Linked DNA regions of Pelodiscus sinensis. The protein of the gene in region 1 purifies or fractionates together with the protein of each later gene. This does not show direct contact. Links are inferred from orthologs where the notes say so. Each region holds a gene or a part of one and is shown on either strand. Other genes may lie near its edges.

The links.
Region 2: the proteins of VAPB (region 1) and OSBPL10 purify together in Homo sapiens (affinity purification with mass spectrometry; 4 studies listed by BioGRID and IntAct, counting the BioPlex papers as one, with this or other methods). This does not show direct contact. The link is inferred for Pelodiscus sinensis from reciprocal best matches to the Homo sapiens genes VAPB and OSBPL10.
Region 3: the proteins of VAPB (region 1) and PRKACA purify together in Homo sapiens (affinity purification with mass spectrometry; 4 studies listed by BioGRID and IntAct, with this or other methods). This does not show direct contact. The link is inferred for Pelodiscus sinensis from reciprocal best matches to the Homo sapiens genes VAPB and PRKACA.
Region 4: the proteins of VAPB (region 1) and ARHGEF12 purify together in Homo sapiens (affinity purification with mass spectrometry; 3 studies listed by BioGRID and IntAct, counting the BioPlex papers as one, with this or other methods). This does not show direct contact. The link is inferred for Pelodiscus sinensis from reciprocal best matches to the Homo sapiens genes VAPB and ARHGEF12.

What each region holds. Positions count from the first base shown.
Region 1 is NC_134728.1:13,200,658-13,208,284, reverse strand, and holds the start of VAPB (vesicle-associated membrane protein-associated protein B/C), read left to right. Parts: upstream 1-4,618; 5' UTR 4,619-4,811; coding exon 4,812-4,869; intron 4,870-7,627. UniProt on the Homo sapiens protein: Endoplasmic reticulum (ER)-anchored protein that mediates the formation of contact sites between the ER and endosomes via interaction with FFAT motif-containing proteins such as STARD3 or WDR44.
Region 2 is NC_134712.1:183,971,910-183,978,820, forward strand, and holds the start of OSBPL10 (oxysterol-binding protein-related protein 10), read left to right. Parts: upstream 1-3,891; 5' UTR 3,892-4,156; coding exon 4,157-4,467; intron 4,468-6,911. UniProt on the Homo sapiens protein: Probable lipid transporter involved in lipid countertransport between the endoplasmic reticulum and the plasma membrane.
Region 3 is NC_134729.1:10,100,219-10,107,136, reverse strand, and holds the start of PRKACA (cAMP-dependent protein kinase catalytic subunit alpha), read left to right. Parts: upstream 1-3,917; 5' UTR 3,918-5,520; coding exon 5,521-5,710; intron 5,711-6,918.
Region 4 is NC_134736.1:4,763,588-4,771,352, reverse strand, and holds the start of ARHGEF12 (rho guanine nucleotide exchange factor 12), read left to right. Parts: upstream 1-4,761; 5' UTR 4,762-6,230; coding exon 6,231-6,331; intron 6,332-7,765. UniProt on the Homo sapiens protein: May play a role in the regulation of RhoA GTPase by guanine nucleotide-binding alpha-12 (GNA12) and alpha-13 (GNA13). Acts as guanine nucleotide exchange factor (GEF) for RhoA GTPase and may act as GTPase-activating protein (GAP) for GNA12 and GNA13.

The DNA.
Region 1 (7,627 bases):
GGATGGGTTCTCTTAGAGAGTGAAAATGACAGAGAATTGTACAGGGGTAACATCATATATTAAAGGGATCGTCAGCCCCCAGCACACATGCCACAAGCATCACACAAGCCCATTTTCACTGGCACATGGGGCAGGAGCTAAGCCCCACTCTTCCCCCCACCCCTCACGCAGTGGGGAGCTTGTACTGTTGCTTCAGCTTTCTGCTGGGGTAGGGAGGTGGGAGAGGCGAACGCGCATCCCTGGGGCTGCCCCTGCCTGGCCTGGGCGTGCAGCTCCCGGGAGCAAAGGGGTTTACCCCCCACCCTGTGCCACAGTTCTGCTTCCTGCTTTGGGAGAGGGTGGGTTTAGGGCCAGCTTGAGCCATTCTTGTGCCCCAGGCAGCGGGCACATGATGCATGCATGGCTCCGCCCCCAGGCGCACGGCGCATGCGCGGTCCCACCCCTCGGCGCACTACACCCCTTACAGCTGCCATCAGGCGCTGCGCACCTGGGGCTGGGGGCCGCATGGTGTCCCTTAGAGCTGCCATCAGGTGCCACGCGGCCCCCAGGCACCTGATGGCAGCTCTAAAGGGCACTGCACGGCCGGGCACGTGGCACCCCTTACAGCTGCCATCAGGCACCCCCCATAGGTTGGCGCCCCGGGGAGCTACCCGGCTAGCCTCCACCCCCCACCTTAATCCGGCCCTGGTGGGGCTGGGCCTGTTCGGCTAGGCAGCCAGACACATGTGGCGCACTGGGGTCTGGGGTGTGCTGCTCTACTCCCTGCAGGCTGTGTGCAGGGGCCGGGAGCCTGTTCCCCAGTGCCCCGGCTGCACCCATCCACACTAGAGCCAGCCCTGGGCAGCCTGGGCTCTCCTTGTCCCAGCCCGAGCTGCAGCCTGCAGGCAAATGACTGGACCAGGCAGGTAAGACACTATGCTCTGCACCCCCCCGCCCCAGCGCTGCTGCCCTGTTGGTGAGTTCACTGGGGGTACAGGGATGTGGGGCAGGATGGGAGGGAGCAGGGATTGCACTGGGGCATGGAGCTGAGGGGAGTGAGGCTGGAGCAGGGGGAAGATGTAAGGGAGGTTACAATTTTACTTTGCAGAAGCTGCACTTTCCTTTACTCCCCACTTGTTTGCCTCCCTCCCCAACTAACTATTTGGCTGCATTCTCACCCACTCACCTTTTCTGGGTTACTTCCCAAGCTTCCTCTTGTTCTCCCACCCCCGACCCTCTCCTCCACCAAACTCCCTTCCAGACCCTGCCCTTCTCACCCCATCCTGCACCCCACCTTCCGCCCAAATCCTACAACCCTATCCCACTCGCTGGCAGCCCTGTCCTGCACACTGAACCCCTCATTTTTGTTCCCACTTCAGAGCCTAAGGAGGTCCACAAATCCACTATCTGTGAAACCCCAGAAAAGTAAATCTGGCCTATGGGAAACCTCAGTCCTCCTTGTCCCTTCCCTTCACTCCATAGGGCAGGAGCGCCACAGGAGTGGGTTGCCTCAGTTGGGGGCCACATCAGTGAGCATTGGGGGTTTTAGGAGGAGTTCTTTTGCTTCTCACTTGTGTGGTCCCCAAGTGATTTTTTTGTGGGTCAGTGGCCCCTCAACTCAAAAAAGGTTCCCCACCTTGCCATAAATAACAAAAACATTGAAACCTTTTGTGTTGGACATAATATTTTACTGATTTAAAATTAAATTAGATAAACTAACATGAAAAAGTTACAACAATTGGTTTAATAATTTAAATTAAAGCATTCTCCCCAGGTGCAGTACTAGCAAAATGGCACAGGTATAATTATGTAATTAACATGCGTTTCCATTAGCAAGTGGTAGTCTGTGGAAAAGTTTGACTAAGGTGGTCCAGAGGGTGTGCAGAGGAGAGAGCCTCTCCTCCCTGGGGGCAGGAGGGTTAAATCTTGGCACGCCACTTCAGAAAGGTTGCTGACCCCGATATATTCTGTATATGTCACACCTGTTACAGCAAGAGTCTCAAACTCCTGGACTGCAGACCATCTGCAGCATGAGTATTTACCCAATCTCACCTGCAAAATATTTTGAAAAGGTCATTTAATCAGATCTGCATGGCTGCCAGTCCTGGGGACGGGGATGAGGTGTGGACACTCATCTGCACACATGGCTCCCAGCATTGCTCAGGCCCCCAGTTCCCACTTAGTCCCAGCTGCACCGGGCACCCCTCAGTCCCAGAAGCCATGCTGGCTGCCTCTGCTGTGATACAAACCACATTGGCCAGGGAGTCGCCTGAGCTGATGCACTTCTGCAGCCAGTGGGGGGCTGGAGGTGTGAGTTTCACTTTCAGTTACCCTGTGAAAGGGGTCCCCATGCGAGGGAACGGATGTTAGTGGAGTGAAGCTTTGTAGGATCTTGTTCTCTGCCTGGCTCCTGGACACAGGAGGAAGACACTATCATGTACTGTATTGCCAACACCAAGGCTACGTCTACATTGGCATGATCTTGCACAAATACTCTTTAACGCAAGAGTTCTTGCATTAAAAGTATTTGCGCAAGAGAGCGTCTACACTGGCATGTGCCTTTGCACAATATATATGCTTTTGTGCAAGAGCATCCGTGCCAGAGTAGACGCTCTCTTGCGCAAGAAAGCTCCAATGGCCATTTTAACCAAGGGAAATAACTCTACAAATAGCTAACTGCACAGTAACTTGCTGCGCTCAGCAAGCGAGGTATTTTTCAAACCTGAGCAAGAAATTTGCAGCACAGTAAAGTGGTAGTGTAGACTGAACACTAGAATTCAGAATAAATAATCTTGGCCTTGTGGAAAACTAGTTCTTATATCTAACCAGAATTCTCTGCACCAGGCTGCACTCAAATTCTGAATGTGCTGTTCAAAGACTGTGCACTTAGCTTGCTGTATGCTTTACCTAGGCATTGAACCCAACCTATACGATATACTAAAAAATTTCACATTATCCCTGGCCAGATTCTAGCTCTTTTCAGTTCCTACGTACTGTATCCTGCAGGGAACACTGCAAAGGCAAGAGGGGGAGAACGGGAGAGATGTCTAGTCCAGCACTTGTTTCACCCAGAGTGAATACACCCCGCTCTCTAATAATCTCAGGATGCATGTCCAACCTATACTATACTGTTCCCAAACTGTCAAATTAAGCACCTACCTAAGTATCACCTTAAACTATGAATCTCTTCTGTTGCACCATATCTATAGTCTCAAGCTCTGTACTTAGGGTTGCCAGATGGTTTCAACAAAAATACTGGACACACTTGACATTACATAACAATCTACATTACATCTTATTTAGAAAATACAGTAATTCCTCATTTAACACTATAGATATGTTTCAGAAAATGATGTTAAGTGAAAACGTGTTATATGGGGTCAATTTTCCCACTGAAAATAATGGAAAAGGTGGGGTTTGCGTTTCAAGCAGTGGTGTCTGTTGGAACCGGGACATAAGGTTGGGGGAGAAAGGGGACTGGGCTACAGCAGGGAGGGGAGGTGTTTGGCTCTGGGGAAGAGAAGGGCAGGAGAAGGGAGGAGGGATTGGGTTGGGAGTATGCCCCTGTGACGGGTCTGCCAGGACCTGCACTGTGTCCAGCAAGAGGGGGTCGTTTGGGAATAGTACGGCAAGCAGCAAACCCTCCGCCGCTTTGCAAGGACGCGGGGGAAGCCCTAGCAGTCGCCGGCAATGGGCCAGCTGGGGAAATCGTGTTATTCCGGGGACTGTCGTGTAATTCAAAAAACATTCCCCCCAAAAAATTGTGCTATCGCAAAACCGTTAAGCGGGCACGTGTTAAATGAGGAATTACTGTACTGGACATTTATATTTTCTCATTTATATTTTGTCAATTTGTTTCCCCGAACAGAAAGCTCAAATACCGGACTGTCATCAAAACCGGACATCTGGCAACCCTATCTGTAGCCATCTGGCACAAGCTGCTCCCTAACTTGGCACTCAGCCCAGCACGCACTAGTCCTATGGTCTATGCCATTCCAACCCTACAACCAGCCAAGACCAGCCACTAAGGACCAAAATTTGGCACTCTTACTGCCACTAAGTAGCACTTTCCACGTAATCCATCAATTTAAAGATTGAAGGGAGAGCTACAGGGGGAAGGCTGGGCCTGGTGGCAGAATCCAGCTCTTGGGCTCCGCACTCACGCTAGCCCAGCCATGGACCTACCAAAAATCACCTGTTGACTTCACACCATGTTGCTCCCAGCCTGGTGCCTTTGGCTCTGCGTTTTCCTGCCTTTCCCCTCCCCATGTGCACACTCTGGAACTGCCCTAGCCCTGCCTTGTGCTCCCCTCTTCCCTCACATGCAGTGTGCCTTGGCCTTGCCTTGTGCCCCCCCCCTTCAGTGTGCCCTGGCCCTGCCATGGGTCCTCCTCTTCCCTCCCCCATGAAGTGTACCCTGACCCCGCCCATGCAGCGTACTCTGGCCCTGCCGTGGTCCCCCCGCCCCGCGCGCTCCCCCTTCTCTCTTGCCCGCTGCACCTTGGCCCCGCCCTGCGCCCTTTAGTCCTGCGGCCGCGCCGCGCCGTTCTCGCCGCCCGGCTGGGGAGAGACGTCAGCCGCAGCCTCTCTCTGGGCCCTTCCGTGCTGCATCATCCCGCCTCCTTCCCCGCCCCCTGGTCCCTGCGCGGGGAGCTTGTGCCAGCCGGGAGCCTCCTCGCCGCGCAGCCGCCGCCTGACGCCCCCGCCCCGCCTAGAGGCGCCGCCGCTGCCGCTCCCCTCCCGCCCGCCGGTTGCCCGCGGCTCGGGGGTTATTAAAGCGCCGGGCGCGTCCCCGCCGCCCCCCCTTCCCAGTGCCGCCGCCGCCGAGGAACATGGCGAAAGTGGAGCAGGTCTTGAGCCTGGAACCGCAGCACGAGCTCAAATTCAAAGGTGAGGGGCGGCCGCGGGGCTCGGCGGCCGCTGCCCAGGGCTGGGCTCCAGCGGCAGCCATTTTCCGGGGGCTGGCGCTCGGCTCCAGCGGCTCAAGGGCCCTTCGTAGGCCGTGCCGGCCCCCCACGCTCCTTCGGGGGCCGGGCGGTGCCCGCTGAGGCTCGCGTCCCTAGGCCTGCCCGCCCCCGGCGCTCTGCTGCGGCCTCGCCTGGAGCCCCTCCAGTACGAGAGACCCCGAGGGGGGGAGGGGAGTCAGGGTGTGAAATGCTGCTTGTCCTGGTGAGCCGTGTGCGCGCGTGTCACACACCAGCCGTGTGTTGTGGTGTAGGCAGAACCCTCCCGCTTCAGATTTCTCCTCATCCCCCGCCCACTGCGAGCGAAGGCAGCGCTACATGGATATAATCTGACCTTCCACGTCGCCTCGGTGTTATCATTAGTGCAGGATGAGAAACAGCCCTTCTGTCGTCTTCTGTATAGGGTTGCTTTCTGCCTTGAGTTTGTCTCATGATGGGTGTAATCCTGTGTGTGTGTGTGTGTGTGAGTGTGTGTGTGTGTATATATATATATATATATGGCGTCTCTTATGTGATCTGTACCCTGACATGCTCCTACTGGTAAAATAATCTGATTGTGGGTTTAATTACTAGCTCCAGCTGCTGTGATTTCTTTTTTTAGAGATGTAGTCAAAGAAAAAGAAAAATATTTTCAGCAGAGATGGTTGCTACCACCTGGCATGTGTGGATGGGCTTTGTGGCTCCTATTTCCTGGAGCCGTTTTAGAGCCATCTGAAAGCTGTCTGAATTGCATATCCTGGAACATGTGGAATAGGTTTCCGTTTGTGTTTTAAAGAACTGAGACTTCTGACCTTGTTTCTGACAATACTTTTGTTTGTTTTTCTTTTCATTATTTCTTAAACTTCTAAGACAAACGCTATTCTAATAATCTGTTTACAGGAGAGTTCTCCTTTAAAATAAGATCCTGAACAGGTTAATTTGCTCTTAATTTATTATGTTACAACTTGATGGACTAGACTGTTGTAACACAATCTGAGATTACATATCAACATCAATAAGTTTGCATATAATAATAATAAAAGTAAAAATATCTCCTCTTACAAAAATGTAACACTGATATTTAGCAAATGCTCTTCTAAACTTCAAAGTAGAGATCATTTGATGTTAAAATATTAATTTCATCTTTACTGATAGCTGCAGCTTAGCTATAAACATGTGGCTAAGATAACATCCCTATATATATTTTTGATCATCAATAAATTTCAGAAATAATATGGTAAATAGTTACTAAAAAGAACAAAAACATAGCAGTAAATATGGTGTGGAATGAATATGCAATTATTTTGTTGGAAATTAACTGCATATTGCTGGGGCAAAAGTAATGCATTAAAATTTAGATGCAAACTATTGGGATGGAGCAATGACAGAAACTCTACTGAGATGGAGAGATGATTAGTTGTTGATCATACTCCAAGATTCAGGGTTAAATTGTCAGCAAAATTTTCAGCTACTCAATAGATTTTTTTTTTAAGCCATATTATGACAGGGGAAAGTGTCATGCAAATCTCAAGTGACAGTCTTTAGTTAAGTGGGTTAGTTATTAAATGTGTGCTTAACATCTAAAATAAACCAAGATTTATCATAAGGTCTTTGGTATGCAAAGATTAAATTATTAGTAATTGATTTTAGCCCCCAAAAAAACAAAACCCAACAATGGTACTGTAGTGCCTTAGAGACTAACAAAAATATATAAATAGTATCATGCACTTTTGTGGGCCCAACTCACCTCTTCAGATGACAAATATTATGAAACGGGGCACAGATTTTGAAATATAAAACAGAAAAAGTGGGGAGAAGAGGAGGAGAAAGAAAGAAAAAACCTTTCAAAGTGTCTGTTCTAAATGAGGCTCATAGAGTAGGCCAGTTTCTCTAGAGAAAATGCAAATGAAAGATTTGTTCACAAAAATCATATTTGAAGTAATCAGGAAGTATAATGTGCTCTTTTCACTTTTTTCAGTTAGATACTTCAACTTTAGAAGGGATATCTTGCACGGTATTAGTATATAAGAATTGCTGAGAGATTTCAATAATCAAAGACACTCCACTCCCTTCCTTTTTCTTGTTGTGTGCTGTCAAGGTGTTTTTCACTGAAAGATCTCGGAGAACTTTGTAGACATGCTGATATTGGAGAAGCTGTATTGGGTTCTAAGTTTCATAACATGAATAAAGACCCCCACACTGAAATGCAGTCAATTTAGAGTTGAAAACATAGTCAAATCTCCAGCTCTAAAATTATTATACCATTCTGTTACTTACAAAGGCTATAAAGATGATTATCACTTTGAAGAATAAACCACCAGAGGTGGAGGAATGCTGAACTGTAATATGGTATTGAGAGAAAGTCTTCCTTGGCATAGACTAGAGAGGAGTTACTGCCAGCTTCTCATTTTTGGGTTGTCTAAAAGTATACATTATAAAGATTTCTTTGTTTTTGAAAAAGCTCTTGTACTTCTATTGTTTGCATTAGATCTCTGAAATTTAGCTGGGGCACTGGGCCTTTTTATTTATCCTAGGCATGCTATTCAGGTGTTGCTAAAATCTGATCTTTTCGGGGGGAGGGAGAGGACTCGCTATTCTTTTCCCCTCACTTTCTGTAATAGAATATGAACCTTCTAAAGCCAAGCACATGCCACTACTGGCCAGCATCAACAGAAGAACCAAGCTGGCATCTTCGCTAGAGAGGC
Region 2 (6,911 bases), on another chromosome or scaffold:
GGGGCTGGCACCTGCCACATGCCCGGGGGCGGGGCCAGCCCAGATTGCTCCGCGGGCACACATAAATGGCCCGGCGGGTGCCATGGCGCCCACGGGCACTACGTTGGGGACCACTGCTCTATTGTAATTAACTCACTGCGTACTATTATGCTAAAACATATTCTATGTGTTTTTTTAACTTTGTATGTTCTCTGTGTTAAATACATGAAATGTAGTGCATAGATGAGCACAGAGTTCGCAGGAGTACTCATACAGTGTGAAGAGTAATACTTAAAGTGCAAGGTTAACACAGAGAATGTGTTTGTTTAAAGCAAAATGAGAATGTAGTAGAATAAAATAACACAATGTATCAGTTAACATAAATATTCACACTGTCCTTGCCAGTAAAAAAATTAACCATAGAGAGGGGTGATTTTACACCATCACCACTTGTTTTCCACTGTTTGCATGTAAATCTGTGCCCTGACTGGGTGACTCTATATACTGTTATATCATGTGCTGTGATAATTTATCCACTGTGTGTGAACATTTATATTAACGTGTGGTGTGCGCATGTGCACACATGAGGGTAGTGTATTAGCTATTCTGTTCTTGGTTATTTCAAGCAGAAAGGAAGGATAGTTCAATGGTTGGGCTCTGGCTTTGGACACTTGGGTTGAATTCTCTGCTCTGCCACAGACTTGCTGTGTGAGTTGGGCAAGTCATTTAATCTCCCCGTGCTCCAGTTTCCAATCTGGAAAGCAAAGCTAATAGTACTTTTCTACTTCACGGAGGACTTGTGCACAGATAAATACTTAAGCGATATAAATACATCTGTGCCCCCCTCAATTGGGTTGCTCTGCATAATTATTTGTACTTCTAACTGAAATTGGATATTGTTTCATTTATTTTATAAAAGTACATATAACTTCTATTAATTAGGATAAGTTGACTGGGGTACAAGCTGTTGACCGGTACAGCTTAATTAGTCTAAGATAACTGAGGTTGAGGGTTGGGCTGACTGACTGGTGGGGATGATTAAGAGAGGACATGACAATAAATTAGCAGTAAACTTCTGAAAGGATCTTGTAGATAGAAGATTCAAGTTGGGTTAAGAGAAGGAGGTAGCTTTGGAGGAAGACCTTGTGAGAGGCAATATGAAGTTGCCAGAAGGGGACTCATGGTTCTGCTCAGCACAGAGGGCTGGACTACATGATGTCTTGAGTCCTTTTCAGACCTATATTGCTATGGGCTTGTTTCCAAGACTGGGTGGATTGCTAAATCGACTGCTGGTCACGCTCCCATTTACTCTGGCACTCTACGGGAATGAGGCGAGTAAGGGGAGTCAATAGGAGAGTTTCTCCCATCAATAGTAAGTAGATGTAAGCTATGTCTACTTGAGTTACTACTAATGTAACTTAAACTGCATAGCTTAGATCAACTTGTCCACAGAGTGTAGACCTGCCCTAAATAAAGCCCTTTGCTGAAAGCAGGATGGCCAAGGGCGCAGGGGCTTGGATGATGCCAACAAGGAACATCATAAATGGACAGGAGGATGACCTCAATAGGGGCAGGAGGTGAGGCAACTGGTAGCCAACAAAGGAAGCCTAGTTATCCTCTCTACCTGCCCAACTCAAATTTAAAATAAAATATCTTCTTTCTCCACCACCGGTTGCTCTGTCATGTCTCATTCAGTGGTAGGGAGTTTTCCTCAACACCAAAAGAGACTTAATCTACACAGGGCCTGGCCCAGGAGGTAAGCAGTCTTCAGGTCCATAACTTAAGGCACAGCCCATGCTCACTTTACCCACTCGCTTCTCACATGATGCATCCAAGAGGAGTTTGAATAAGCCAGCACAGAACTCTAGCACCATGTCTACCTATGGGGGCCTCCTGCAGCCACATGTTATACAGCCTCTCAGAACTGGCCCAGACTTTACATGCTGATGTATGGTTGATGCAGTGTTTCACACAGCATTACCCACCACTGTACACTCAGACACAAAATATGACAGCCAGAGAGGAGTGCACAACATTGTATATTCCATGTTGATGCATGATTGCATTCTGTTGTTTTTTCACACGATCTGTCTAGCTTCACCTTTGCTGTAGCTTCTGAGTGGCTCATTTTTATTAATGAACATATTTTCTCTTTCACAACACCTAAGAGATAGGGAAAGATTACTGACCCCATTTACAGATGGGAAACTAAGGCATAGGAAGATTAAGTACTTTGCCCAACATCACATAGGGATTCTGTGACACAAGCAGGCATTGTACTCAGAACTCCTGTACCTGAAATACAAGGCCACTCCCACGGCAGGATTATCACTTGTTTTCATGTACTATGCACTCAGGACAGTGTACCCTGTACTATGCACTTGTGCTGATGCGGAACACTATCTGTTACACATTGATTGCTGTGTACAGTGTGTGTGTTGTGGATAGCCTGGTAGCTCTGGTGATTCGATCATCTCTCGTTATTTGTCCCCCCTCTCCTCGCCCTTTTCAGGTCCCTGCTCTTGACATGAAGAGACTGCTTGTTATTTGTATAGTTGTAACACCTAGGAGTCCAGTGGTGGAGCAAAACCCCAGGGTGCTCGGTGCTGTACTAATATAAAACAAAAAGAGAATCTCAACTGTCATTTCTTTTTAAATAAAAATGTGCTCATGGTTGTTGTATAGAAAAGGTTGACAACATGATCTAAGTGCACCCTATAACCTCAGAAACAAAAGCCAAAGTTATAATTGAAAACATCCCATTGAGTTAAAGCCAATCTCATGAATTTCGGAGGAGTGACAATATTTGACTCACGATTTCTTGAATGTTTGGAGATGGTAATACTACTTGGCTGTGTCTAGACTGGCCAGTTTTTCCAAAAAATCAGCCGCTTTTCCGAAAAAACTTGCCAGCTGTCTACACTGGTCGCTTGAATTTCCGCAAAAGCACTGACGATCTCATGTAAGATTGTCAGTGTTCTTGTGGAAATACTATGCTGCTCCCGTTCGGGCAAAAGTCCCTTTTGCGCAAAACTTTTGCGCAAAAGGGCCAGTGTAGACAGCTGAGATTTGTTTTCCGCAAAAAAGCCCCGATCACGAAAATGGCGATCGGGGCTTTTTTTGCGGAAAAGCGCATCTAGATTGGCACGGACGCTTTTCTGCAAAAAGTGCTTTTGCGGAAAAGCGTCCATGCCAATCTAGGCGCTCTGTTCCGAAAATGTTTTTAACGGAAAACTTTTCCGTTAAAAGCATTTCCGGAAAATCATGCCAGTCTAGACGTAGCCCTTATGTATATGTGCGTGGTGTACTCTTCTCCATGTGTTACATGTTGCCTTGTGGCAGATATTCTGAGTGGTGTGCACTCCTCACTGACTGTCATGTTCTGAGTGTACTATGGTGGGCAGTGTTGTGTGAAACACTGCATATTATGCACTCCTCCTGGCTTTTCTGCATGGTATACAGACGTTGTGTATTGCACACTATGTTGTGCTGTCCTTTCTGACTGTGGCGGTGTGTGTGTTACTGTGTATTACAAACTGTGCCAGGTAGGGATGTAAAATCCCCATTAATTGGTTAACCAGTTAAATGTAATGTTAGGGGGAGGGCAGAGAGGCCCGAGACCTATTGGTGGGGAGCCCGGCAGGGCTGGAGCAGCCCCCTGCCCAGGGCGAGTGGGCAGCTGTTCCAGCCCCAACCAGTTAACCAGAACAGGTAAGCATCAGCAATTAAAGGTGATGCTTACCAGTTAGCTGGTTAACCATTTCATGTTGTGTGTGTGGCTGTTAGCGTTGTGTGTGTGTTGGGGTGTACTGAATTGTACACCATGCTGAGCACTCCTCCTCCCCGGCTGTAACACTGTGTGCGCGTGTTGTGTGTTACACCCCGAGTTGTGCTCTCCCAGGCCTGGCGCGGGCTCTCCCCACAGGCCGGGCCAGCAGCCTCCCAAGCGGGCGCCAGGCAGGGCGGGGAGCGGGGGAGCTTCCCGCACCTCTCGGGGCTGGGGGCGGGTCTGCGGCCGCCGCCCCAGCTGGCTCTGGTGGTAACTGGCGGCGGGGGCGGGCTCGGCGGCTCTCCCCACTGGCCCGGCCCGGCCCTCGCGCGTGAGTCAGGCATTTCCCGGGGACTCGCAGCAGCAGCAGCGCGGCCGGGCGGGCTCGGACCCTGCCCCGCGGGCTCCATGGAGAAGGCGGCGCAGGGCGGCAGCAGCGGTGCGGATGGAGGCGGCAGCAACAGCAACAGCAGCAGCCGGAGCAGCAGCCGGCCCACGTCGGCGGGCTCGTCTCCCTGCTCCGCGGGCCGCGGGCTGCCGGGCCGGCCGGCGGCGGGGCGGCTGGAAGGCGGCGGGAGCAGCAGCAGCCCGGGCTCGGCAGCCGTGAGCCCGGGAGGAGGCGGAACGGGGCCGGCGCTGGGCAGCGGCTGCAGGAGGGAGCAGACGCTGGAGGGAGCGCTCAGCAAATACACCAACCTCCTGCAGGGCTGGCAGAGCAGGTAAGCCCGGCCCCGCGCGCGCCCTGGCCGCCCCAGCGCTCTGCGGGGCACGTGCCCCCTTCGCTGGCTGCCAGCCTCATTCCCCGGGTAGCCGGCGCTCCCACGCGCTGGTCCCCACGAGATGCTGCTCTGCGCAGCTGCTCGGGGTCCCCAGGCCAGTTAGGCCGGTCGTGGGCTGTGTGTGCAGCAGCCCAGCCACTTATTGTGGGGCAAACGCCTCTCGCTTTCAATGGGGCCTCATTATTTTCATTACTCTATCCATTTTATGGATCGTGCCCCTGGGCTGGTACATCTTCATGGTAGCAGTTTTGCAAGAGGGGTTTGATAGGGAGCCTGGTCTTTGAAGATATAATGTAAACATGTTTATGATACATGTTGTTTAGGGTTGCTCGGGAAGTTAGAGGGATGGAAGGAACAACTTTTTTGTGAATAGAGTGCTTGACATGTTTGATTCATCCTCCCTGTTCCCAATCTTCTTATTACTATACAACATCTTACTATCTATTTCGCCACCATATTACTTTTGACTTCCTTGTTCTGCAAAACTTAAAAAAAAATACAGAATAAAATATCCTGCCCCAGTGAAGAAACTAGCATTAAGTAGTAAATAGAAAAGTATTATTTTCTGGGGAGGTCATTTTACTGAAGGGGGCAATGGGACAATTCATAGGAAAAAATAAAAGTTTTAAGTTCATTATGACCTGATTTGACTTTTAGTTATGGACACCGAGATGAAGGTCCTAATCTTGCATTTCAGTGGGTATGGACAGATTGCTATGCAGGCACTGGGAATCTGCTGGTACTCAACATAGAACAAAATCAGGGCCTATATTGTTACAATGGGTTTGTGGAATTAATAGTGCTGTACGGGGTCTGTAGTTATGGAACTAGGAAGAGGAGATCTTCTATTATTATTATTATTTCACTTTTGGTTATCAAACTTCATTCTCTTCCTCTTGTTTTAAATTGCTAGATTTCTGTGCTTATGAAAGATTTTAGATTGGCAGCTGTGGATAGTGAGGATTTCTACCTATAGAACAGGGTAAACTTCTGTTCAGGACCTTTGTATCAGGCAACAATTTTCTATTATTGCTGACCTCGAGATGCCTAGCTAGTGGTAACAGAAGTGGAAGAAATAGTGCAGTTAAATGTTTCACAGTTTTAAAACTGTGTCAATTAGATGTGCTGTAAACAGAGTTAAATGAGATAGTAAAAAATGCTAATGTCTATGGTAGCATTATCATGTCCAGAGCTCCCAAAGATGCTGTCACTTATGGAGCTGAATCAGAGGTGCAAATGACAGGAAACTCTTTCCCTCTGTTCCTCTTCCAAACTGCCATTGTAGACTTAGTTATAACACTCCTCATCTCCAGGCTGCAGTGTGTGCATTGGTTCCCTTTTTACTATTGATTTGTTTAGAAAGTATTAATAGGTTTACAAATTCTTGCCATGTAAATATCAGAAACACAGGAATAATCATTACAACAGAGATCTTCTGTTTAAAGAGAGACATGGAAATATAGTGATCAGATCTCTGTTTAACAGGATATCACCATACTTCAGACTGAGCATCATGTTGTTTCTTGTGATTTTATTAAATTGTGTGAAATCTCTGATTACACATATTTAACAGATAGGCATGTTTACCAAATATTAATATTAAAAAAAATCAGACAGGTACACTGAGGTTTTTTGTGTGGGTAAATGTACTTTGAGTATTGAATAGAAGGTAATAAAATATCTAAGTAACTGTTTGTCCTCTGCTGGGTGCATTATTGGTGTGTTAATTTTTTCCATAACAGCCATCTCCCAGATTTTTTTTAACTTTTTCTCTGTGGATCTACAATTTTTTTCTTTTCCTATGAGAGATTATTAAACAAACAAATGAAAGATTAATAGCAGGGATGTTAAATGTCAATTAGGGCTGTCAATTGACCTGTATTAACACCTGCGATTAATGCAGGACAGGATGAATGCATTAATTTTTTTAAGGCGTTAATTGCAGGTGTTAATGCTGCGCTGCCCTTTTGAAGTGCTGTTCCGGCGCTTCAAAGGGGCAGCCCAAGCAGAGCCGGGGATCAGCTGGAGTCCCCAGCTGATCCCCGGCTCTGCTGTTGCAAAGCCCCTTTGAAGCACCAGAGCTGCATTTCAAAGGGGCTTTGCAGTATGGAGCCGGGGATCAGCTGGAGTCCACAGATTCCAAGCATCTAATGCGCTGCCCCATGGAAATGCTGCCACGGTGCTTCCAAGGGGCAGCGCTTTATGCAGCATTGCCCCGTTGAAATGCTGCCATGGCATTTCAAAGGGGAAGTGCACGCGATTAATTGCGTGATTAATCGTGATTACATTTTTTAAATAGCTTGACAGCCCTAATATCGATTAATTGAATAATCGATTAACCTCATGAGTTCTTATCGGTTAGTTGACTAGTCCATAATCCATGG
Region 3 (6,918 bases), on another chromosome or scaffold:
TTTCCGTTTCTAGAGGTCTCGTCCTGCTCACTAGCATTAGAGATCCACTTAAGCCCTGACGCACAAGCTTCAATATCCATTTCGGAATTATTGCTGTCATTTAAATTATAGCCTTGAATTGTCTTTCTCCCTGTGAATGGCCAGTCTAGTCTTGCCCTCAACTTTGTGGTGGTGAGTTCCGTGGGCTAATGGTAAAGTGTTTCCTCTTACTGGTTTTGAATTCCCCACCTTTTAATTCTATTTGAGTGTCCCCTGCTTCTTGTGGAATGAGACAGGAAGGAGAGAAGCTCCTCATCTCTCTTCTTCATCCCAGCTATTATTTTCCAGATTAAATGGTGGCCCTCTTATTGGGTTCCTTGGTAAGGGAAATAGTCCTCTCCGTCTGTCCTCATAGGAGAGTTTGTCCCAGGTCTAGATTGTTCTTATTGCCCTACTCTGAACGTTCTCATTTTGCACTATTCCTCTTTGATCAGGGGTGACTAGCACTGCAGCCGTTATTTCCGATCATGCTAGAATTTAATGGGTTGATGAAGTTTAGCAGCTGGAAACAAGGACTTGGCACCATGTTACTAGCAATTGCTGAGGTATCTGCGTCTGTTGATCCTACTTTGGACACTGGCAACCTGCAGTTACTTCAGTACCAGAAGTGAAACTCACTAGAATCTGAGTGAAATTGACCAGCTGTATTGGGTCTTCCCCCTTCCTCCCTGCATTTGTTCATGCTGAGATACCTGAAAAGGGATTAAGTGCAGTGGACTTTATGTTGAAAATAAGCTTTACAGTTAATAAGCCCAGGTGCTGGTAACATAAGAAGCAATTTTTATTGTCCTCTTTTTAAGCTGATAATGTCTCTCTAAATCCTCAAGCTACCTGGTTTTCTACTGAATTTTCTTTTAAATTCATGCGAAATTGCTCTCCGCACTAGGTTTTTAAGGAATCCTTTTGGTTTAAAATATACGTGTATATCATTTTGGGACTGAAAATGAGTGCAGTCCTCTTTTCATCAGCACCATTTTTATTATCTGAGCCTCACGGCGGGTTTCCCTTATTCCTTCTGGTTATTCCTTACCGGGTGAGGAATTAAATGGGTTTGTATTATGTGCTGCTGTAATGCCCATAATGACCTAAACTGAGGTCAAAGACCTGCATTGTGCTGGATGCTGCGCACACACCTAAAACAAGTCCGCTTCTGCCCTAAAGCGTTTTGAATCTAAATAGTCAGGGGAAGGATTCGTACCCCCATGTTACAGACAGGCAGCTGAGCTGAAATGACTGATCCAAGGTTGCATGAAGTCAAGGTCCAAACTCAGCATTGAATCCAAATCTGCCTTTACCACAGGCCATCTTGCCTAACTCCCAAAGCCAGAGACCACTGGGCTCATGTCAGGGTGTGGTCTGTGGACCCCTGGGGCTCTGCAGACCCTGTCTCTCCAAGGGATCTGCACCTCCCTTCGACATTTTTAGGGGTCCACAAATGAGAAAGGTTGAGAACCACCAATACAGGGTGACCTCCAGCATGGCACAACTGTAGGACTGGCCTGAATTAATTCCTGATTGAATTAGAGCACAAAAGTAGCCATGTTTGAGTTGAAGGCTGCCTGTGCTAGAGAATCTGCCTCAGCCCTTGGTCAGTTGTTCCAATGGTTAATTACTCACTGTTGATCTTCTGCTTGTGCATGACAGACCTGCTGTAACTTAGAGTGGAGTTTCCTGCAAAGAGCCTGGCTCCATGCAGGGCAGCTTGCCTGCTAGGCCAGTGTGAACCTGTTAATTGTGCTGTCCCCCCAGTTGTGCCTCCTTGTGTTCAGGCGAGAGCCACTCAGACGCTTCCCCGATGCACCCACTTCTGGGACGGAGCAGGGATTCCTCTGCTGAAATGAATGACTGATAAGCTTCAGGCTGCCAGACAGCCCAGCCTCTGGCTCTCCCAGTACCAACCCAGGCTCTTACTGGTGCTGCACCATGCGGCTGGTCGCCATGGGGGTCACCATCTGTGGCTGGGCCATGATGCTCCGATTGCTGAGTAGGGCAAAATGCCATCTGCTGGGTCCGTGTGTCCCTGCTGCTGCTGCTCATTGCTGGCTGGAGGGAGCTGATTTTTACCGAGCACGCTGGAATATTTTAAACCTTCCCTGCTGACCCTGCGGGACTCGCTGCCTGAGATGGCAGAAAATTCCCCTGGTCCTGCCAAAGCTGCACCTGCGCAAGGCTAACCCTTTGGGCACCGCTCTCGCCCGCCTGTCTGACTGGCATGTGGGCTGGCAGCCCCTCGGAAATGCCGACTCAGCCACATGTCAGTGACACCCCTTCCCCCGCTGCACTGAGACGCGGTTCTGACCCAAACAGCTCGCGTGGCCCCGGTTACGTAACCTAATGGGATCCCTTTCAGATCCGGAGGAAGGGCAAAGAGAGCCTGCTCCAGTCCCTCCCACGGAGTGTCTCGAACCTCTTGGCTGCCTCTTGTAGGCCTGATGGTGACTGGGGGGCTCCAGCGCAGGGCCTGGATGGGAGGGGCTGTCTCAAGATCCACCGCCAGGGTGCTGAGCGCACGGCAGCAGGCAGAGACCTTTCAACCCAGCTGTTCAGCTGAGCCGCTCTTGGTGGCTGGTCAGTGCCAGGGCTCCTGTTGAGCCAGGCGCGGCTCAGGAAGCAGATCCTGGTGCACGCGGCAGTAGCGCTGGACTTGGCTGGCCCCCTGGCTGGCTATCGGTGGAGGCCGGAGGCCACGTGAGCCACAGGGCTCGGATTCTCAGCCCTCCGACTGTGGCCCTGCTCAGACCAGCTGCAACATGAAATGGGTTTGGCAGGTGTCAGTCCAGTTCCCGGAGGGAGAGGCCTCCCCCTACCAAAGCCATGTGGGAACTGTGTGTGAGTCTCCTCCTGCCCCCGTTTCCCCCGCCACAGTCCCGGGAGTGTAAGGCCTGAAGGGGGAGCTTGAATGGGAGCCCAGAAGGTCCCGCCTTTCACCAGCCCCTCTGTCCAAAGGGGCCTATAGCAGCTAACTTTGCCCTTCCTCTTACTCAGTGAGGGGGGACTGGGCTGGGATGTGCTGAGAACAGGGCCTCTGGGAGTCGGGACTCCTGGGTTCTGTTCTTGGCTTGGGAGGCAGCACGGTCTAATGGTGAGGAGCCCAGGAGTCCTGTCTAGGATGATTCTGTGGTAGGAAGTAGGGATGTGAATGGTTTACTAATTGGTTAACCTTAGCGGGTGATGTTTGCTGGTTACAGTTAACTGGTGGGGGCTGGAGCAGCCCCCCACTTGCCATGGGCAGAGATCTGCTCCAGCCCCACGGGGCCTACTGCAAGTGGGGGTTGCTCCAGCCCCGCTGGAACAGCCCCTTCCCATGGGGGAAGGGGTACTGCAGCCCACCCGCAAGGGGAGGGTACTCCAGTCCAGCTGGGTTGGAGCGCCTCCTGCTCACCCTGGTTTAATCAATGAACTGATTAAAACGGTTTAATCAATGAACCGTTTAACCCATTAAATAATTGAAACAGGATTTTACATCCCTCGGCGGGAGGGCCCTCCCTCTGGGGACTGGACTGAGACCTGCCAAGTTAACTTCACATTGGACTGGGTTTGAGCTGATGCTCTAGAGATGCTGTAGATTCCCCTCCCTCCTTCCCACCCACTCCCCCTGAGAGTGGGATGCTCCGGGCTGCCAGGCCAGGTTCCCTGGGATCCCAACCTCCTGTCCTGCCACTGGAGCCCGGGGGCCAGTTCCCTGAGGAGAGCTGGTTGCTGAGAGAGCAGCTGAGAGCAGATGTGGAGCAGGGAGCTGATGCCTTTAAGGGCCTCGTGTGAACCTGGCGGCGTGCCCAGCCCTGGATCTCCCTCCCCCTTTGAGGCTGCTCCCTTGGGGCGCTTTCTGAAACAATACCTAGCGCGCGCCTCACTGGGGCAGGCTGATCCCTGAGCCTAGGAAGCGACAGGAGTGAAGCAGGCTGCTCCCTACCCTGCTCCCGGTTCTTCTCCCCGGGAGAGCCCGTTCCTGCTCTGCAAAGGGTCCTGGAGGCCTGCTTGGAAGCTGGGCAGCCATGGGGGAGCCCGCTGTGGCGTAGAGAAGCAGGGCAGCCTCCGGCAGGATCCCGGCTGCCAGGAGCCGAGGTCTGCGTCATCGGGGCGGCAGCATGGAGCTCAGACCTGGCGACCTCCGTGGAATCGAGGAGGGCTCAGATTTCGACTTCCAGTTCTGGATCCAGCTCTTCCTCTGGGTGCACTTGTTTGGCCGGCTGGTCTATTACCTCCTCCGCACCTTTGGGGGGCTGACGCAGTAGCCCCCTCGCCCCTTGTGCCCAGGGTGAGCAGCTTCCTTTCCAGATTGCCCCCTGCCTCCGGTCTCTGCAGCCCCCTGGAAATTGAGACTCACAAGAAAGGGCCTCCTCCTTCCCCATCCCACCCGCTTGCTTTTCCCCCGGAGCTCTATCCGGCTTCTGGCTTCCGCTGGAAGTGGCTTCCCGCTCCCAAGGTCAAGGAGTGCAGGGCTTGTTTGGGAAAGGCAAAGTAAAGAAACCTTCAAGCAACTAGTCCTGAGTCCCTCCCCTGGCGGCGGTCGGTACCGCCTGGGACTGCACGCCATGAGTCAAACCCCGTGGTGCAGCAAGATCTCCTCGCTGGGGTGCAGCCGCAGGGTGCCTGCAAGGGCCGGGGGTTCTGAATGTGGGTCTGTTTGAGCGCTGCTTGGAGAGCTGCCTTGGACGCGCTGCGACCCCCTGCTCTTCGGCGCTATACACGGGGGCTCCAGCAGCTGATTTCAGGACCTGCGTGCCTCTGACTCAGGCCTCATGTGAGCTGCAAGCCCAGCCCTGTTTCCTTTGCAGCCCGGGGCACTGTACCCGTAGGACAGTGTGTTTGGCAAGGATCCGCTCCCCCGCACACACAGGATCGGCAGTGAAGCAAGAGGGAGCCTCGCGCGCTGCTTTCGGCCCAAGGATCTGAGAGGAGCAGAGACCCACGGGTCTGCTTTAAGCCTCTCTGGGTGGATTTGCCCCTTGCCACCGGCCATTGTTCTGGCAAACCCGTCCATTCAGTTCTGGAGCAGAACCCGTCTTCCCCTTGCTCTCCAGGAAGTGAAACTGACTTGGCTGGCTGCGTAAGTGACCAGACTCCCCTATCCTGTGCCCTCTGCCAGGGAAGCCCACGCTCGGGACCAAGGTGAAGCCATTTCGAGTCCCTGGGTCCTCGCCACCTGGAGCAAGTGCAGGGAGGAGTCGTATGGAAGTGGCCTGCCCGCCTCTGCGTTGACAGCCAGGCTCTGAGGCTGCTGCAGGGCAGGGGAGCTTTTGGATGGAGAGTCTCTCCCCCGGGTAGAAGTCAAGAGCAGTCGGCTCAAGCCCCCATCTCTGTTGGGAGTGGACGAGTTTTGCTGGGGCTTGGGGCTGCTTCTCCGCTCCCTGACCCTGCTCTCGTCTCTGCTGCTGGGAAATGGCCGAGGCCGGAGGATTCCTGGATTGGGGCCCAACTTCACATCAACTCTGGCTGTGAGAGCTGAGGAGAGAGGGAGATAAATAAATTAAGGGAAACATGAGCCACGGAGGAGAAATGACCTGCCCCAACCCCAGCAGGAACAAAGGGGCTAAGATGTCAGCGCTTCAGAAACTGGAGAGTCTGGCTGGGCGGATTTTCTACTGGGGGCCGCGCAGCGAGGCGGGGGCCCCGGCCGGCAGCGAGGCGGCCCCTGTGTCTCCGCACACGCTCGCCTGGAGTGAGCAGAGTGAGTTGAGATGGAATCCGCAGGGGTAGGACCAGCCGCGGCACAGGGCCCTGTGAGTCGAGCTATCTGGCGGGGGCAGGGGATGCAGACACCATCAAAATGTGTGGGATTTGGGGGGCGGAGTGCGCAGGCCAGAGTCTGGCCTCCCCAGCTCCTCCTGGGAAGGATCCCTGCAGGGCAGCGGCAAGCACGTGAGGCCTTAGGAGCTCTCCGCTCCCGGGGCCTCCTCTTCCCGCCACTCCTGAGCCATGGAGGCCTGGGACAGGTCATGGGCCTGGGACACCCAAGTTCTGATTGTGGGAAGGGCTGAACCCGCCACGTGGCGTGAACTTTTCTCCGTGCCCGGCATCCGCCCCGGGCGCCAGAACCCAGGTGGGTGGCGCTGTGCTCTGATCCGCTGGCTCTAGCTGTTCTGCAAGCAGCAGCGAATCTCTCCCCCCGCACCAGGCTCTCCCTGCAAAGTGGGAGATGAGGTGTGTTTGGTGATGGGGCAGAACCGCCTCACACAGCGGGGGAAGTGACTTGCCTCTGCTTGCGCCAGATGGGGGCAGCGCTGGCCGTAGAATTCAGGAGTCCTGGTTCCCAGTCTTCCATGCTGGCCTAATGGTTAGAGCAGAGGCCTGGGCATCATGGCTCCTGAGTTCTGTCCCCGGCTCTGGGAGGGGTTTGAAGTCTCTGCCTCCTTCTCTTCCTCGAATGCCAGTCCCTGGTGTGTGGCACCTCTCCCTTTCCTCCTCCTATACCGGTGGTGCTGCGGGTCGGCTGCCAGGTACTTGGTCGCTGCATGTGAGGAAGGGGGCACAAGGACTCACTGGCTCCCTTCCTCGGGAGAGTCCTGGCCACTTCCCTGGGACAGACCTATGCCCTCATGTGTCACTTCCTCTCTGACATCCTGTGTCTGTCCTTTTCATCCCCCTCCACTTCCTCCTCCTCATTCCCCCAACCCTGCTTTCATTCCTCCCTCCCCTCAGGACAGATGAGGAGGCCTTTCCAGCCTGGCCCCAGCTGTGGGTGGGTGGGAGGGATTCCCCTGCAGGGAGGGAGGGTGAGGGAGGGGAGGGAGGATACAGGGATGAGCCATCTCTCCCACCGGCAGGCTCCCTGGATGTGCAAACAAGGTTGTAACAATAGTGCCTTGGCAGGGCAGCCAGGATTAAAATAGCCTCTGGCACCTTTAACCCTCTGCTGCCTGGGCCTTCCCAGCGTGG
Region 4 (7,765 bases), on another chromosome or scaffold:
ATGTCAGTCTCCTTCAAAATATGGAAGGCTGAATTTAAAAATCCGTGTGATTTGCTTTAGGGATGTAATAGTGTAGTTGATTAACTGATAAGCAAAAGTTTATTGGTCAGTGCTATAGACTGCACATGTTCCCCCCCCCCCCCCTCCAGTAAACTTTTTAGCAGGCTGTCCAGCAATCTGGCTCGCGCCGGGTCCAGGACCTACCCCTACCTTGGCTCCGCATTTGAAGTGCATTAGGAGCCAGGCGGGCAGGCAGCCCGGTTCAGTTCTGGCTCACGACACATCTGGGAGCTCAGCCCTCCCATTCCCTGGACAGGGGTTGCTGCCACCCTGCACTTCTGCCTCTGTCAGGACAGCATGGGCAGCCAGTCTGCAAGGGGAGCTGTTTTTTAAACTGGCTCCCCTCACGGACCAGCTCCTGCCTGGCACCCCAGATATAGAGGCAGCAGCGCAGAGTGGCAGGGGGCGCTTCAGGACTGGGGCTGGAGTGCACTGGCTGCCGGTCCCTCCCCCTGGGACTATAGAATAGTCGAGTAACTGATAAGAATTCATTGTTAATCGACTATTCATTTAACCAATATTTAACATCCCTAACTTGCTTTGGCCATTCACTGGTGGTGTTGCAGCCATGTATGTTATGACATACCTTTACAGCTGGGTTGTTTTTTTTCCAATAGATTTTACCAAGTTTTGGGCTCAGTGAAGGTATAACAATATTTTGTTTTTTATCTAGGGCCTTTTACACCAGCCCATCAAGTTTGTTAGATAGAAACTGACAGGATTTGGAATAGATGCCAGGAGTCTTGACTCCCCGTCCATCCGTCTGTTTTAAGCACTAAACTCCCTCCGTGGGAGTCTGAAATGCAGGTTGCAATTGGCTACAACTCCTTTTGCAATTGTGGGTTGTCGTAATGCCGGCTGGCAGGTGCCAAGGGAATGGTGAACCGTCAGTGTGCTCAGATCAGTGTTTGTTTTGACAGTTGGGAAAAGTCTTTCTGGAGGAGGCTCTCTGTTTCTCTCAGTTGTGTTGCAGTACTGTTAGGTCATTGTTGAAACAGATTCTGGATGGGTGGAAAATAACTATGCAACAGGTCTGTGTTGCAGGCAGTTTCCAATTTTGAGTGATGTTGTCTGGAATTCAGCCATTTTTGTCATTTATTGCTCCATAGCTGCCGGGAGGCTCTTTTGTCAAGGCTGCTTATTTACTCCACTGATGAAAAAGTCCGGGTGCTTGTGAAGCACTTTTAAAATCCTGCTCCACCTATTGCTGTTTGTATTAGGAGGAAACCACTCCTTCAGTTCTGCCCTGTGCTTCCTGAGAGATTAAACATTGTGAGTTTCTGGATCAGCTGTAGAGAATTTGCTGAGGATCACCCCATTGACTTAACTCCAGCCACACACTCTCTGGTGGGTGTCACTGGAAAACTTTCCCACCAAGTTGGGCTGTATTTTTAACTTTTTGAAAAGCTCTCTTCTGGAACACACTGCACTGTGTGGTTTTTTTATGTTTTTTTTTTTTTTTAAACTTTAAATCAAGATGGAGGTCAGCCCAGATACAGCAGTCTGTCACGTGGGCAAGGAGGGAAATAATAGTAAAGGAACAAACAGGAAGTAAGTGTAGTCACAGAAGTACAGTGAAGTCTTGCAATGAGCGCTGAAGAGTCCCAACAGAGAGAATCTCCAGACAAAGCGTCATATATTCACGGGCCTTTTCTTTGGAAGTCCCTGTCCCCAAATTGAGTGGCGCAGGACTTCGGAATGAAGAGCAGAAACCATTTGGTCAGTCTCCAGTGGTCTATAGATATGAAGGACTTGCTCAAATACTTGGGGCCTAGCAGTGTGTTACGTAGATCTTTTTTTTTTTTTTTTCTTCAATTCCTTAATAACTGGTTTGGAGGTATGTTGTCATTCAGAGGTTTCTCCCCTGGTCTCTGTTCTTTCTCCAGTGGAGTGTGTAGAATCTCAGTAGCTGTATGAATATGAGACAGCAATAACCTAAATCTGTGGGCTGATCTCTTCCAGTGATGAGGACTCCACCAGGGCCCCAGGATCTGTTTGTCCGTGACAGTTAGCTCAGCTCAGACAAATGATAATGAGCAGGAACAAACTCCCACTGGCAAATACATTTCATCTTCTAGGGCTGCCCTTCCCCCTCCCTTCTCTTCCATTAGGTAGGGAGATGCTTGCTTTAGATTAAAGCACTTTTACTTATAACCAAGTGACTCCAACTTCCATTTTGCAGTTAGTCTGATTACATTATTCTATTTCAGAAGTCTGAACAGGAAATACAGCAGGGAAATTGCCCTATTGCAGGCTATTCATAAATTAATTAAAATAAATATTTCCTTTCTTCCTTGTCAATACTTTAGTGACTGATTGGTCTGGCTCTTGAACTGTTTGAGTTCCTGTATATGTGGAAATCTGTATTGTTTCAGTAACCTAGTCTATGAAGAATGTGTTTAGCTGTTTGCACATTACAGTGGCACACAACATTCTTCATCCTTTGAAGAGGTTTGATTGTGGGTAGCTTCCCTTGGTTGTGTAATGTGTACCTTTGGCACTCAGGGCAGTGTGGGAATCTGAGAGAGGTTTATTTGCTGGCATTTGGATAATGCCGCCATAGAGTGTCTGAAGAGTTGTGACTTCTAGCAAATGTACAGGTGTGTTTGACCTGCGGGATAGGAGCAGCCAGAGTCCTTGAGTGCTTTTCAGCAGGTTAGCTGAGTTTGTGTTTGGAGTATATGGGGTGGGGGGGAACTCCTATAGTTCACATCATACATGTAATTATCCAATATTAGTTGACAGATTATTTCAGTTATTGATTTAAACTTTGTTCAGTTGTTGAGGATTTGAGGACTGTTCCTCCTTCCAAGCTTAAAATAGGAAATAACTTGCAAAGGGGAGGAGGGAATGCATTTCTCAGCTAGTGAGCAAAGTTTAAAAATACAGATGAATCAGCCATCAGGAACTATTAAACTAAGGGCTTGTCTTCACAGGGAAATTAGCCAGGATAATTATACTGGCATAACTCCCTGTGTGCACACTCTTATTCTGGAATAAGCGTGTCTACAGAGGGAGTTAAAACAGTATAATTAGAGGTAGCACAGTAAAATATGCTAGTAAATTTCCCCATGCAGACAAGCCTCAACACCTCATTCCTCTCCTCTCCTCTGCCCCGCAACCTTGCTGCCTATCCCCCTCCTTGCTTGCTGTAGCATTATTTGTGTGCTAGGCATGTTAACTCTTTGCCACTGCTGTGGCAGAAAAGACTATTGACTATTAGCTTGGGGCAAAGGGGGAACCTTAAGTGTAGAAAACTGTTGTAATCACTGCAGCCTCAGGAGTGATGGAATAATCATATTAGTTCTTCTAATGCATCTGGATCATGATCCTAGACTGTCTACAAGGACTGGGAACTTGAAATGTCAACACTGGTGTGTTGTTCTTGTCCCATCCTGGGAACAAGATGGTGAATACGGCCACTCGTGTCCTTGGGGATGGAATTCTATTTTTAGTAGCTGGGAGCACAAATACAGGTATTGATGTCTTGGGGTGTAGTCTGTGCATTCTGAAGTTGGGAGTGTGAAGCGATGCACTAGTGATCTAACAGGAAGATTGTAATGATGACATTAGTGGAAATATTCCTGTTTATGGAGTCAAAATTCTGGTGCCTCTAAAGTTCTCCTGTATTGATCTGTTGGGGAGATTGGGAAAGGAGGGATTTCATAATAGATTGAGAAAATGTTGTTGTAAAAATCTTATGAGGAAAAAAATCAGACATTGTTTCTTTCTGATAATTGGCCCATAACGAGTGCTTGTCCAAGTTTATTTGCTTTGAAAGCATTTTTATTTATTTGCTGGAGAGCTTCTGATGCTGGCGGGTGCTATACTGAGGTACTGGACCTGAAAACCATGCCATTGTCTGCCTTCCTATCCCCTCTTTATTTGAGACAGGATTTTGGCTGCTGTTTGATAACTTGCTCTTGATGAAAGGGATTGGAGAACAGGGTAAACAGAAATTTTATACGTTCTACAATATTATACATAAATTTGTATAACATGCACTTTAAAATATGGAATACCTCTTTGAAATTGATTAAGGGAAAATATCAAGAAAGGAAATATGACCCCCTTTTTAAGAGGAGCTCTGCATATACCGCTGTCTTGCATCAGAAGCCATCCCAGGCAAGTGATCAAGTCAGCTGTGGTGCAGGAGGCAAATAGTTTTTGCTGTGTGCTTCTATGGCAGGCATGTCCAAAGTCCGGCCCGCGGGCCAATTGCGGCCCGTGTTCCGGTTTAATACGGCCCCCCAGGTAATTTGGCAATATCTATCTTTTATGGCCCCCAACGAATCCATATGTATTGAGATGAATACATTGTAAAATCTCAGTTAATGTCAGTTGGTCTAAATCAGTTATAAATATATTTGGACACAACATGTATACTTGGTGTTATGTTCCTGTTCATATTTTTTGAACTTAAAAGTTGACAGACAACCTTTATTACCAATAATATGTAATGTACTTTACAATGTTCCTGACATATACTTCAGCTTCCTGGATTTTTTTTTCATCTGGCCTTCAGATATGAAAGGCAGAGTGATTTAACACCTGTTTAGATTTGTCATCCATGTGACGAAATGAAAAGTGTGCCGTTTGCAATAAACTTTGCATAAAATAGTTAATTTGCATTTAATGTTAATGGTTCAAAGAATGTCAGGCAAAATGGTCGGCCCTCGCGCATGTTCACTTCATCAAATCTGGCCCTCTTTGAAAAAAGTTTGGACACCCCTGTTCTATGGGCATTGTGTTTTCTGTTGGTTTGTCACTGTCTTCATACAGTGTTTCAGCTCCTTTCTTTTCACTGAGTAATCAACTTCCATTTTTGTACCAAAACTTGAAGATGTTATCGTGGTCCTTAAGAAATCCCCAAGGAGCTGCCCTAAAGCAGCCTGCTGTGTGATTTGTAATCTTAGATGTGGTAGGCTAGTATTCTTGGGCACTTCACCAATTTCCCTCAGATACTCAAATTCTCTGCTTAAAATAATATCTATTAGTAGTAAGTTTTAAGCGCATTTATAGCTTTGACAGTTTCAGCCACAGCATGGGTACAACTTCAAGGTTTCTACTACATGAAAAGAAATGTCTTAGCACTGCAGGTTATGTTCAGTGTTAACACAGGCATGCATAAGAAAGAGACAGATGTAGCTCCATCTTTTAATGACTGGTTCTCTAGACTGTCTTGCAAATCTAATCCTAATAGCTATGTGCTCCTCTCAGTGGAGCTCAGAAGGTGGGTTTTACTGAGTAGAGCTAGTGGATTTGTCTGGTGAATCACTCAGGTGAATGATAAATAGGGTCCTTTTGTGAGTTCACAACTCAATGATGTAGTTTCTTCTCACCCTCCCCACTCACCTTGCAACTTTTCTCACTTTTGGGGTTCTTATTTAGTTCCCTTGTGAGAAGTTATTTCAGCTGTGTAGTGCTGATCCTGCATCTGATTGCTCGTCTCTCATTGTCCTTTTGGCCGTTTGGTGTTGTAGAGATGCTCTTTCATTGCATGTAATGAATCTTGAATCGGAGTCCTCATTGAAACACCTACGTACTCTGGGTTCTACACTAGGACCCTAAATACTGTCTTGAGGATATCTCTCCCGTGTGACCCATCTGGAACCTGGAGACTTCTAAATCTTTGCTTGTAATCCTCTACCCATCTTTACCATTCCGCTGAGACATTCTTCTTGGTTTTCCTCCCTCAGTCTGAACATTCTGAGAGTATTTTCTATATTCAGAGGTATAGCACTTGTCTTCTCTGAGGAGTCCTTGCTAAGGTAACTGTAGTGGGGTGGAATGGCCACCCACTGAGCCGGAGGCGGAGGAACCCCTCTGGGAGCCATTTTGGGCCCAGCCTAGCCCCGCCCCCTCACCTGACCAGAAGTCAAAGGGCGGGACTAGGACTATAAGAAGGCTGCCTGGGAGCTCAGTCAGGGCCCAGCCTCCGAGGGAGCCGGAGGCCGGTCCAGAGCTCCTGTCTGGGGAGGCTAAGACCTGGGCTAGGCCGTCCTCAGCCGCCTCCCTGGAGGCCCGCCAAGGCTTCCCTGCCGGGACTACTGAGGCCTTGCCACGCCAGCCAGCAGAGCAACCCGAGGACCCAGAGGACTGTCCCGAACCACTAGACCGGCTGGACCCCCAATGGGTACTGGAACGCCGGGGCCGGACGAGCCCGCGGGATGCTACAGAGCTCCGACCCCTTGACCCCTGGATTGGGCCGCCTGGACCCTGCTGGGACAACACCGACCTCGACTCCACGACGGGCCTGCCGGAGCTACAGGTACCAGGGAAGGGAGAGACGAGAAGTGGCCCAGGGGGTAGCCGGGCGGGGAGCCGCCCGCGGCCAGCAAGTTATGGGCCGGAGCCCTGCTGAGCCAGGCGCAGCCGCCCGGCTGCATTCAGGGCCCCTGGGCCGGGGTGCAATGAGGTGGGTGGGCCTGCGCCCCCCCTGCCACCCTGAACCGGGTGACAGTCTCCCCCCTCACCGCGGCTGCCGACGCCCTCCCGGGCCTGCTCCGCAACGAGGGGCTCCGACGGGTGTGGGGTTAGCTGGGCCGCCCAACTTGAGGGCCTGGCCTAATAGACTATGTTTGGGGGCCCGCCCTGCTCAAGGGCACGGGTTTACCTACGGTGCGGCTGAGACCGACCGTGCGTCGGGCAGAACCCCTCAAAGGGGCCGGACTAGACTGGGTGCCAGGCCCTGACCTGTGCAATACTAGACTGACTGTGGCCCGGACCTGAAGGAAGGCCGGGAGAGACTCGCCTATTAATTTAAGGCGCAGTAATGCAGGGAGGCAGGCGCATCTCCCGCTGCGCCTGGGGGCTGAGGAGCCGCCTCCTGAGGGCCTACCGGCCTATCACAAACCCATCAGTCCCCCGGAAGGGGAAAGCTTAGAGGCTATGGTTGTCACTGCCAGAGGGCAGTGACCTAAAAGGCGACGTGGCGACGAGAGCCACCCGCTACAGTAACCAAACTAATTTAAAACTGTGAGAGGAGTGATTAGAGAATTTGACGGAGAATTTGGTTCTGTTCCCACTTCAGCCTCTGACTTGAACTGTGATGTTGGGCATGTCGCTTCCCTTCTCTGTACTTCAGTTTCCCAATCTGTGAAGTGGAGCTAGAAACTTACTTTTTAGAAATTGTTTGAGATCCTTTGAAAGGCCAGGAAAGTGTCAAGTAGTAAGCTTTAAACATTATGCTTCTACTTAACTCGCTCTATAAATTGTCTACTGTAAATTTGCTCAGGTTTCTGTTAGGAGGAGGCCTCTATCTTGAATTTCTTCAGCCTGATTGACTAATACTATGTACTACAATGATTTTCAAATGCATAGATTATTGCTAATTTGTTAAGCAAAGCATTGGTTGCTCTTCCTGAAAAGCATGTTGAAAGTGGCTGATCTGCAGAGCCTTATAGCCTAAAAGTTGCTTTCTCCATAGTGTGGATTATGAGTGCAACTTTCTTAAAGGGATATCTTGGGGGCCGTGTGAGGGGATGGCACAGAGGACACATTAGCCCCACATTTCACTCTGCGCTTAAAATGTGCGTAACTGTACAAGTAGCATAAAGGAAGTGACTGAAAGGTGGTGGAACAAGTGTGTTGGATGACAGCTGCAACGCTGACAGCTTTTGTGTGTCTTTACGGTATGAAGCCGTCTTTGGAGGATAGCTCGTTGCAGTGCTTTGAGGTAGGAAGGACAAAGGCATGTAGACAT